Linked DNA regions of Oryctolagus cuniculus. The protein of the gene in region 2 interacts with the protein of the main gene of each other region in a pairwise test. Links are inferred from orthologs where the notes say so. Each region holds a gene or a part of one and is shown on either strand. Other genes may lie near its edges.

The links. The genes of interacting proteins can lie anywhere in the genome.
Region 1: the proteins of MAD1L1 (region 2) and LGALSL interact in binary tests that used the Homo sapiens proteins (3 or more experiments, as listed by UniProt). The two-hybrid records come from large-scale screens. The link is inferred for Oryctolagus cuniculus from reciprocal best matches to the Homo sapiens genes MAD1L1 and LGALSL.

What each region holds. Positions count from the first base shown.
Region 1 is NC_091433.1:138,337,430-138,341,166, forward strand, and holds the start of LGALSL (galectin-related protein), read right to left. Parts: upstream 2,580-3,737; 5' UTR 2,166-2,579; coding exon 2,130-2,165; intron 1,321-2,129; coding exon 1,249-1,320; intron 1,118-1,248; coding exon 1,029-1,117; intron 406-1,028; coding exon 228-405; intron 1-227. UniProt on the Homo sapiens protein: Does not bind lactose, and may not bind carbohydrates.
Region 2 is NC_091450.1:37,072,152-37,075,788, reverse strand, and holds part of MAD1L1 (mitotic spindle assembly checkpoint protein MAD1), read left to right. Parts: intron 1-2,285; coding exon 2,286-2,410; intron 2,411-2,858; coding exon 2,859-2,940; intron 2,941-3,637. UniProt on the Homo sapiens protein: Component of the spindle-assembly checkpoint that prevents the onset of anaphase until all chromosomes are properly aligned at the metaphase plate.

The DNA of each region.
Region 1 (3,737 bases), on a different chromosome or scaffold from region 2:
AAACATGGGTCTATTTACTAAATGTCTTGGCTAAATAAAGCCCAGAGTTACCAAAGCAATTATCAATTTCTATCAGCAAACGCCTCTTTTGACTTTTCTATCTGCTTTCATCACCCGGCAAAGTTCCTGGACATGCAGAAATCCTGGCTGCTCTTGGCACGCACCAGCTAAGTAGCACAGCACAGCATCCCCGTGCCAGCCGCTGGGCCTGAAGCACTCGGACTCACCCTGAACGGCTGGTCCGGGATGAACGGAAAGTAAGGGATCGCCGACTGCTCTTCTCCCCTCTCCCCCGATATGCAAGAGTTTCGGAGTAGCTGCCGGTCCGTGAACACAGCCTTGAGTTCAATGGCCACATCGGCAGGAGGGTCTTCTGAGTCCCCGCAGGTCAGGCTGATGGCGAAGCTGAAAAGCAGAGCTGGCTCTAAGACGTCTCACAGCGACCCCGTCCTCCTCCTCCTCCTCCTCCTCTTTCTCCTCCTCCCCCCCCTCTGGCTTTCTCTGCTTTCAACAGCCCTGGCACTCACCCCGGGGAACTCTGCTCTCTACAGCAGACTCTGCTGACCACTTTGGTGGAGTTGAAAACGCCCACAATTAGAGACTTCAAATACCCCAGGCCACCACACATCTGGGTCCTAATCCATCTCAGAGACTGACCAGGGGAAATAGCATCGTGTACAGTTTTGGTTCTTATTTATATTGGTAGTTCTTGCTTTCCATGCACCATGTTTTAAAACCATAAAAAAAAAAAAAAAAAGAAGAAGAAAAAAGAAAAAAATCCTCTGGCCTCCCTAAAGGTCAGAGAGAAACGGGGACCTATATTTATCATCTCTGATATAAATAGCAGTCTACAGCACGGAGGGCTGGGATTCATACACATTCTTTTCATGGGAACTTGGTACTTTCTTGGCATCCCAACCAGCAATACTGTCCACGAGGAGAGGCAGGGGCCGAGCGCTGGCCCAGCACCGAGCCCGCAGGCCTGGCCACTGCCTGCGGCTTCTGCCGGGCCCAGGCCTCGCCCTTACCTCTCTGGGTTGAGGTCCACAATGCCCATCACTAGCACCTTCTTGCCCGGTCTCATGCCACCTTTAATGTGTCCACAAAATGGAACTATCTGCAAGGCAAGAGAGGAGAGACAGGAAGTTTGCAGCCGGTTGGGAAAGAGCCAGGCCCTCAGGTCCCGAGGACCGGACCCGTTAGGAAACACACTTCGGAAGAGACCACAGGAGGAGGGCAATCATTTACCAGTCGTGGGAAGTACACGTCGGCTTGAACCGGAGAGCCCAGGGAGTTGTTGAAGTGCCCATCATCTAGTTTCTAAAAATAGAAGCACACAGATTGGCTCTCCACCGGCCCTTTCCTTGGGCTGGGGGCGGGAGAGCGAGGCCAGCACCTCTACAAAGCCAGCCGAGCCCCGCAGCCCTGCCCAGACGCACAGGCAGTGTCTGCGGGCGATGCCTCTTCCTACGTCCATTAAGTAACCGCCTAAGCCCCCGGAACAAAACCCGTCCCCCTCCTCCCGGTGGCTAAGCCTCTGCCGAGCCGCAGACCCTTCAGATCCGGATCCAAATCCAGGTCGAGGCCCACCGCGGGGGAGGGGGAGGCCAGGGCCCCCTCTGGAGGTGGGCATGCCCGACTCCAACCGCAAACGCTCCAGAAACCGCTGTAGCCCGGGCCCGCGAAGGGGACCCGGCCCAAGTGCAGCGGCAGCGCTCAACTTCTGTCGGGAGCCCCCAGCGCGGGCCCGGTTCCAAGGGGGAATCCCCGGGACGTCGGGACTGGTGGCGGGGCGCGCGCCCCGGACACACTCCCCCGCGCGCACTCACGCCAGCCCCGCGCACACACCTGGTGCGGGGCTGCCCGCACGGAGGGGCCCGCTCGGCACCTTCCCCGCGCCTCACCGCTTCCCCGCGCGGCGTCTCCGGCCGGGGAGCCGTCCCCGCCCCCCGCCCCCCACCGGTCGCGCACGGCCCCGGCCCCGGCCCCGGCCCCGGCTCGCAGGTACCCGTCGCCTTCCCAAGCGCGAGGCACCGGGCCGGGCCTGCTGCTTCTCCCCGCCCCAGCCGCGGCTGGCGCGGGAGCGGGCGGCGGGAAGGGGGCCCTCGAGTGCGCCCCGCCACACTCACCACCACGGCATCACTGTCAGCCACCGATCCCGCCATGTTCTAGCACGGCGCGGCCGGGCGCGCGGCAGGCGACCGAGCAAGGGGGACGCGGGACGCGGCGCGCGGGCGGGGATCCCGGGGCGGCCGTGCGCCGAGCGGAGGCGCGGGTCCGAGGCGGCGCGGGCGCGCACACACACACGGGTGCGCGCGCACGCCCGGGGGCCCGGCGCCGACCGGGCTGGCAGGGCCTGGGGAGGAGGGGGAGGGGATGGGAGGGGAGGGGCGGCGGCGCGGGCCGGGAGGTCGAAGGTGGCGGCTGCTGCCCGGAGCGCGGCTGCTGCCGCCGAGTCCGGGCTGGCGCCGCTGCGGCCGTGCTGCCGTCGCCCGAGGAAGAAAGGTGGCAGGGGCCGAGTCGCGCCGGCCCTAGGCGGCATTTAAAGGCCGCCGGCGCCCGGCTCGGGAACCGGGAACAGGGCGGGGACCCGGCTGCGCTGCCGCGGCTTGCTCAGCTTGCCCTGCCCTTCGGCCATTGGTCGGTGGCTGGAGGCCGGGCCAGTCCGAGTCGGGGCGTGCTGCAGGGCGGGTGGGGCTGGGGGGACTGCCAGGTGACAGGTGCCGGGGACAGCCCCGCCCCTCCCTTCCGGCCTCCAGACCGTCGCCGTCCCGCCTTCTCCAGCAGCGTCCCGGGGTGGGGGCAGGTGGGGCGCGGGAGACTCGATGTGATTTCCATCAGAGAATGCAGACAAAAGTGGGAGGAAAGGCCCCCTCCTGGGCTCAGGGCTGGAAAGAGGATGACAGGTAACGATGCTTGCAGAAATAAAAGAAAGAGGCAGAGGGGACTCCAGGTAGGGACTTTCCTATCCCAGGAGGCTGGACACAGAACAGGCCTCTGTATTCCTTGTGGAAGGACCGACAGGTGTGGGGGCAGCCGTCTGGCTAAGCCTCAGCACGTGAAAGTGGACGAGGTGACTGTCCTCAGAGAGCCTCCACCGGGCCCTGCTTTTGTTTGTGTTTAAGCAAGTCACTGGCCCAGTCTGGGGCAGTGCGTTTCTTCCTGCACATCTCCTATTGTCGGTAGGAGAGTAATTCCGGGGGCGGGGCACTCCTCCTTTATTCCCGGGCACAGGGCACACGCTCCTGTATGGCGCATGGCATTTCCCCACTAGGGTGATTATGGAACCTCACAGATAAAGCCGTATCAACGGCCCCTCTATTAGGCGGCATCCTTGGCTTCAGCATTCCACCGTGTGAATCACCAGGGCGTCTACACTAATTAGCAGGGAGCCTGTGTGACCTGCGATCCCGCAGGGACCCGGGAGGCTGCCTTCCAGCTGCTCGCGCTGGCTGTGTGGCCCAGGCCTTCCTTGTGCCTGTGTGTCTTAGTGTTCCCGTATGGGCCAGAGCTAACCGCGGTAATTCCAGTTGCGCAGGGAGAATGACCTGCACACGGCTGCACCTCGCAGTCATGGCTTGGAGCAGGTGATTCTCTGAGAGTCTAAGGCCAGCCCGGTGGCAGCTCACGTTTTTGCTCCTGTTGACCAGTCTTAGCTCAAACTCACAGCTTCTGCATTATTGAAAAATGCAAGGCAGTTTATAGGACATTTGAGATTTGGGAAGCATGCTTTGGTA
Region 2 (3,637 bases):
GTCCGGGCGCTGTGGCCCCGGGGAGGCGTGTGTGCCCGAGAGCTGGGAGCTGGACGGCCCGCGCCTTGCCCGTCCCTGTTGCGTGGCGCTCAGCATCACGGCGCTGTGTGGAGCCACGGAGGAGCTGCCGGGAGGCGCGGGGTGGTTGGCGTTCCGTCCCCACGCGCTCCTCGCGGCGGCCTGCAGGTTGTGTTTGCCTTGGCAGTGCCGGGGACGTGTTAAGGCTGTCCCCACGTCTGTCTGCTGAAGGGGCGCTGGCAGGAGGGGAGGCGTGGCCCGCGTCCAGAGAAGTCCGCTCCAGCCTCACACACTCGCCTGTTGCAGCTGTGGCCTGCAGTCCCCTGGGGAGGGCCGTCGGACACCTCTCAGTGAAGGGCAGAGGGGGCGGCCGTAGGCCTGATTGGGGCCCGTGGGGGGGCACCAGGACGTGGCTGCCGCTCCCCACCTGCCGGCCTGAGTGGCCTCCCCCAGGAGGCCCAGGAGGAAGTCCATGGCCTTCCCCGCCAGCTGTGTTCCTGCATCACAGTGCCCCTCAGGGGTCCCTGTCCACTTGCTGCCTGTCTGCTTGCTCCCGGTGCAGCCTCTGCGAGGCTGGGCTGCCTGTCCTTGTGCCCAGCGTGTGCGTGTCGCGTCCCGCGTCCCACGGGCCTCCAGAAGGGCATGCTCGTCGTCAGGTGTCTGACGCCTTTCTCCTTTGCTGGTTCCTGAGTCGGTCCCTTGCAGTGTGCTGAATGAGCGTGGGCGTGTCAGCCCCCAGTGTGTGCGTGTTGCGTCCCATTTCCCACAGGCCCGTGTCAGCCTCCAGCGTGTGCGTGTCGCGTCCCGTGTCCCACAGACCCGTGTTAGCCCCCAGCGTGTGCATGTCGCGTCCCATGTCCCATGGGCCCCGTGTCAGCCCCCAGTGTGTGCGTGTCACATCCCGCTTCCCACAGGCCCGTGTTAGCCCCCAGCGTGTGCGTGTCGCGTCCCATGTCCCACTGGCCCCATGTCAGCCCCCAGCGTGTGCGTGTCGTGTCCCGTGTCCCATGGGCCCTGTGTCAGCCTGTGCTCCTCGTCAGGTGTCTGACGCCTTTCTCCTTTGCTGGTTCCTGAGTCGGTCCCTTGCAGTGTGCTGAATGAGCGTGGGCGTGTCAGCCCCCAGTGTGTGCGTGTCACGTCCCGTGTCCCACAGGCCTGTGTCAGCCCCCAGCGTGTGTGTGTTGCGTCCCATGTCCCACTGGCCCCATGTCAGCCCCCAGCGTGTGCGTGTCGTGTCCCGTGTCCCACGGGCCCCGTGTCAGCCCCCAGCGTGTGCGTGTCGTGTCCCGTGTCCCACAGGCCCGTGTTAGCCCCCAGCGTGTGCATGTCGCGTCCCATGTCCCACTGGCCCCATGTCAGCCCCCAGCGTGTGCGTGTCGTGTCCCGTGTCCCATGGGCCCTGTGTGTCAGCCTGTGCTCCTCGTCAGGTGTCTGACACCTTTCTCCTTTGCTGGTTCCTGAGTCGGTCCCTTGCAGTGTGCTGAATGAGCGTGGGCGTGTCAGCCCCCAGCGTGTGTGTGTTGCGTCCCATTTCCCACAGGCCTGTGTCAGCCCCCAGTGGGCTGTGGGGTGAGAGGCACCCCGTGCGTTCCGTGGGTGAAGGCTGGGCACGGGCTCTCGGGGCCCTGCAGCCGAGTGCTGGGCCTGTTTACAGAGTGAGCCGCTTGGGGGGCTGCCCAGCTCCAGTCACTGTGGCGGGCTTGCTGTGTGGGTTCCCCGGGGGTTTCTGTGTGCCCATGTGTGTGACGCTTCTCAGTGGGCCGGCCTTTGTGCTGACTTGAGCCAGGAACGCGGTGTGGGAGGTCATCAGCAGGTCCCGGAGAGGCGCGAGGCACGCCAAGGGTGGCCCGGAGGGGCTAGCTGGACTGGCGGTCCTGGCGGTCCTGGCGGCTGCTGGCTGTGCTCGGGCCTGCCTCCCAGGTCCTGCCCGCTGCTCTCCAAGCCCTCCAAGTCCCCCCCCCCCCCCCCCCCCCCGCTGGCCTGGAGGTCAGCTCCCTCCTGTGTGGCGCTGCTGGGGTTGGAGGCTGAGCGCAGTGGGGATGCAGGGGTGTGTGCCAGGTGGACGCTGGGCCCTGGGCATGAAGGCCCGGCTCACCCTGGCTGACGCACTTCATGTTGCTGGAGGCCCTTGGCAGGCTGTCAGGCATGGGGTCCATCACGTGTGCCCCGGGCGTGGGTCTGTCCTCGCCCTGTTGCAGACAAGCCTCATCCCCTGACAAGCACTGGGACCAGCCTCGGTGAGCGGCTGCTGTGTCCCCTCTCCGCAGACCATCAACGCGTTGAAGGGCAGGGTCTCGGAGCTGCAGTGGAGCCTGACGGACCAGGAGAGGCAGCTGAAGCGCCTGGAGTCGGAGAAGCAGGAGCTGGGGGAGCAGCTGGAGCTGCGGCACAGGTGCGGGGGGGCCTGCCCCGGCTGCAGGAGGGGCTGGTGCCCAGACCTGGGGGCCCTGAGCCAGATCGCGCATGACGGCAGCCCGCTGGGACTCCTCAGTCAGGCCCGAGGTCATAGGGTGGGGAGGGCGCGTCCTGGGGCTGGGAACAAGCTGGGCAGAGGCCGGGCATGACCGGAGCTGAAGCAGGGGTGAGGGAGTGGTCAGTCCTGGGCAGCCCGCTGCAGCTGCCCCGGGGCAGGCAGATGGTGTGGGGTGAGCGGTGTTGGGAGTGGGGGACCTGGGGGGTCACAGCTGGGAAGGACCTCGTGGGTGGTCTGGGCTTGCCCACCCGCCCTGTGAGGTGAGGAGCTGGAGCCCAGGGTGCCGGGTGTCTTTGCAGGGGGAGCGTGTCTGGGGGCCAGGCAGGGGGTCGCTGGCTTCACCGCATGCCTTGTCGTCCTGTGACAGACAGTGGCAGGAAGCTAACCAGAAGATCCAGGAGCTGCAGGCCAGCCAGGAGGTGAAGGCCGACCAGGAACAGAAGATCAAGGTGAGCCTGCGTCACTGCCTGCAACGGGGCCGCGGCGTCCCCTGCTGGCGCAAGCCTGTCTGAGCTGGGCTGCGTGGTGGCCCTGAGCAGGCTATGTGTTGTAGCCCTGGGCTGTGTGGTGGCCCTGGGCTGGCTGTGGTGGCTCTGGGCTGGCTGTGGTGGTCCTGGGCTGTGTGTGGTGGCCCTGGGCTGGCTGTGGTGGCCCTGAGCTGGCTGTGGTGGCCCTGAGCTGGCTGTAGTGGCCCTGAGCTGTGTGTGGTGGCCCTGGGCTGTGTGTGGTGGCCCTGGGCTGTGTGGTGGTCCTGAGCTGGCTGTGGTGGCCCTGAGCTGGCTGTGGTGGCCCTGGGCTGTGGGTGGTGGCCCTGAGCTTTCTGTGGTGTCCCAGAGCTGGCTGTAGTGGCCCTGGGCTGGCTGTGGTGGCCCTGGGCTGTGTGTGGTGGCCCTAAGCTGGCTGTGGTGGCCCTGGGCTGTGTGGTGGCCCTGAGCTGGCTGTGGTGTCCCAGAGCTGGCTGTGGTGGCCCTGGGCTGTGTGTGGTGGCCCTGGGCTGTGGGTGGTGGCCCTGAGCTGGCCGTGGTGGCCCTGGGCTGTGTGTGGTGGCCCTGATCTGGCTGTGGTGTCCCTGAGCTGTGTGTGGTGGCCCTGAGCAGGCTGTGTGTGGTGGCCCTGAGCAGGCTGTGTGTGGTGGCCCTGGGCTGT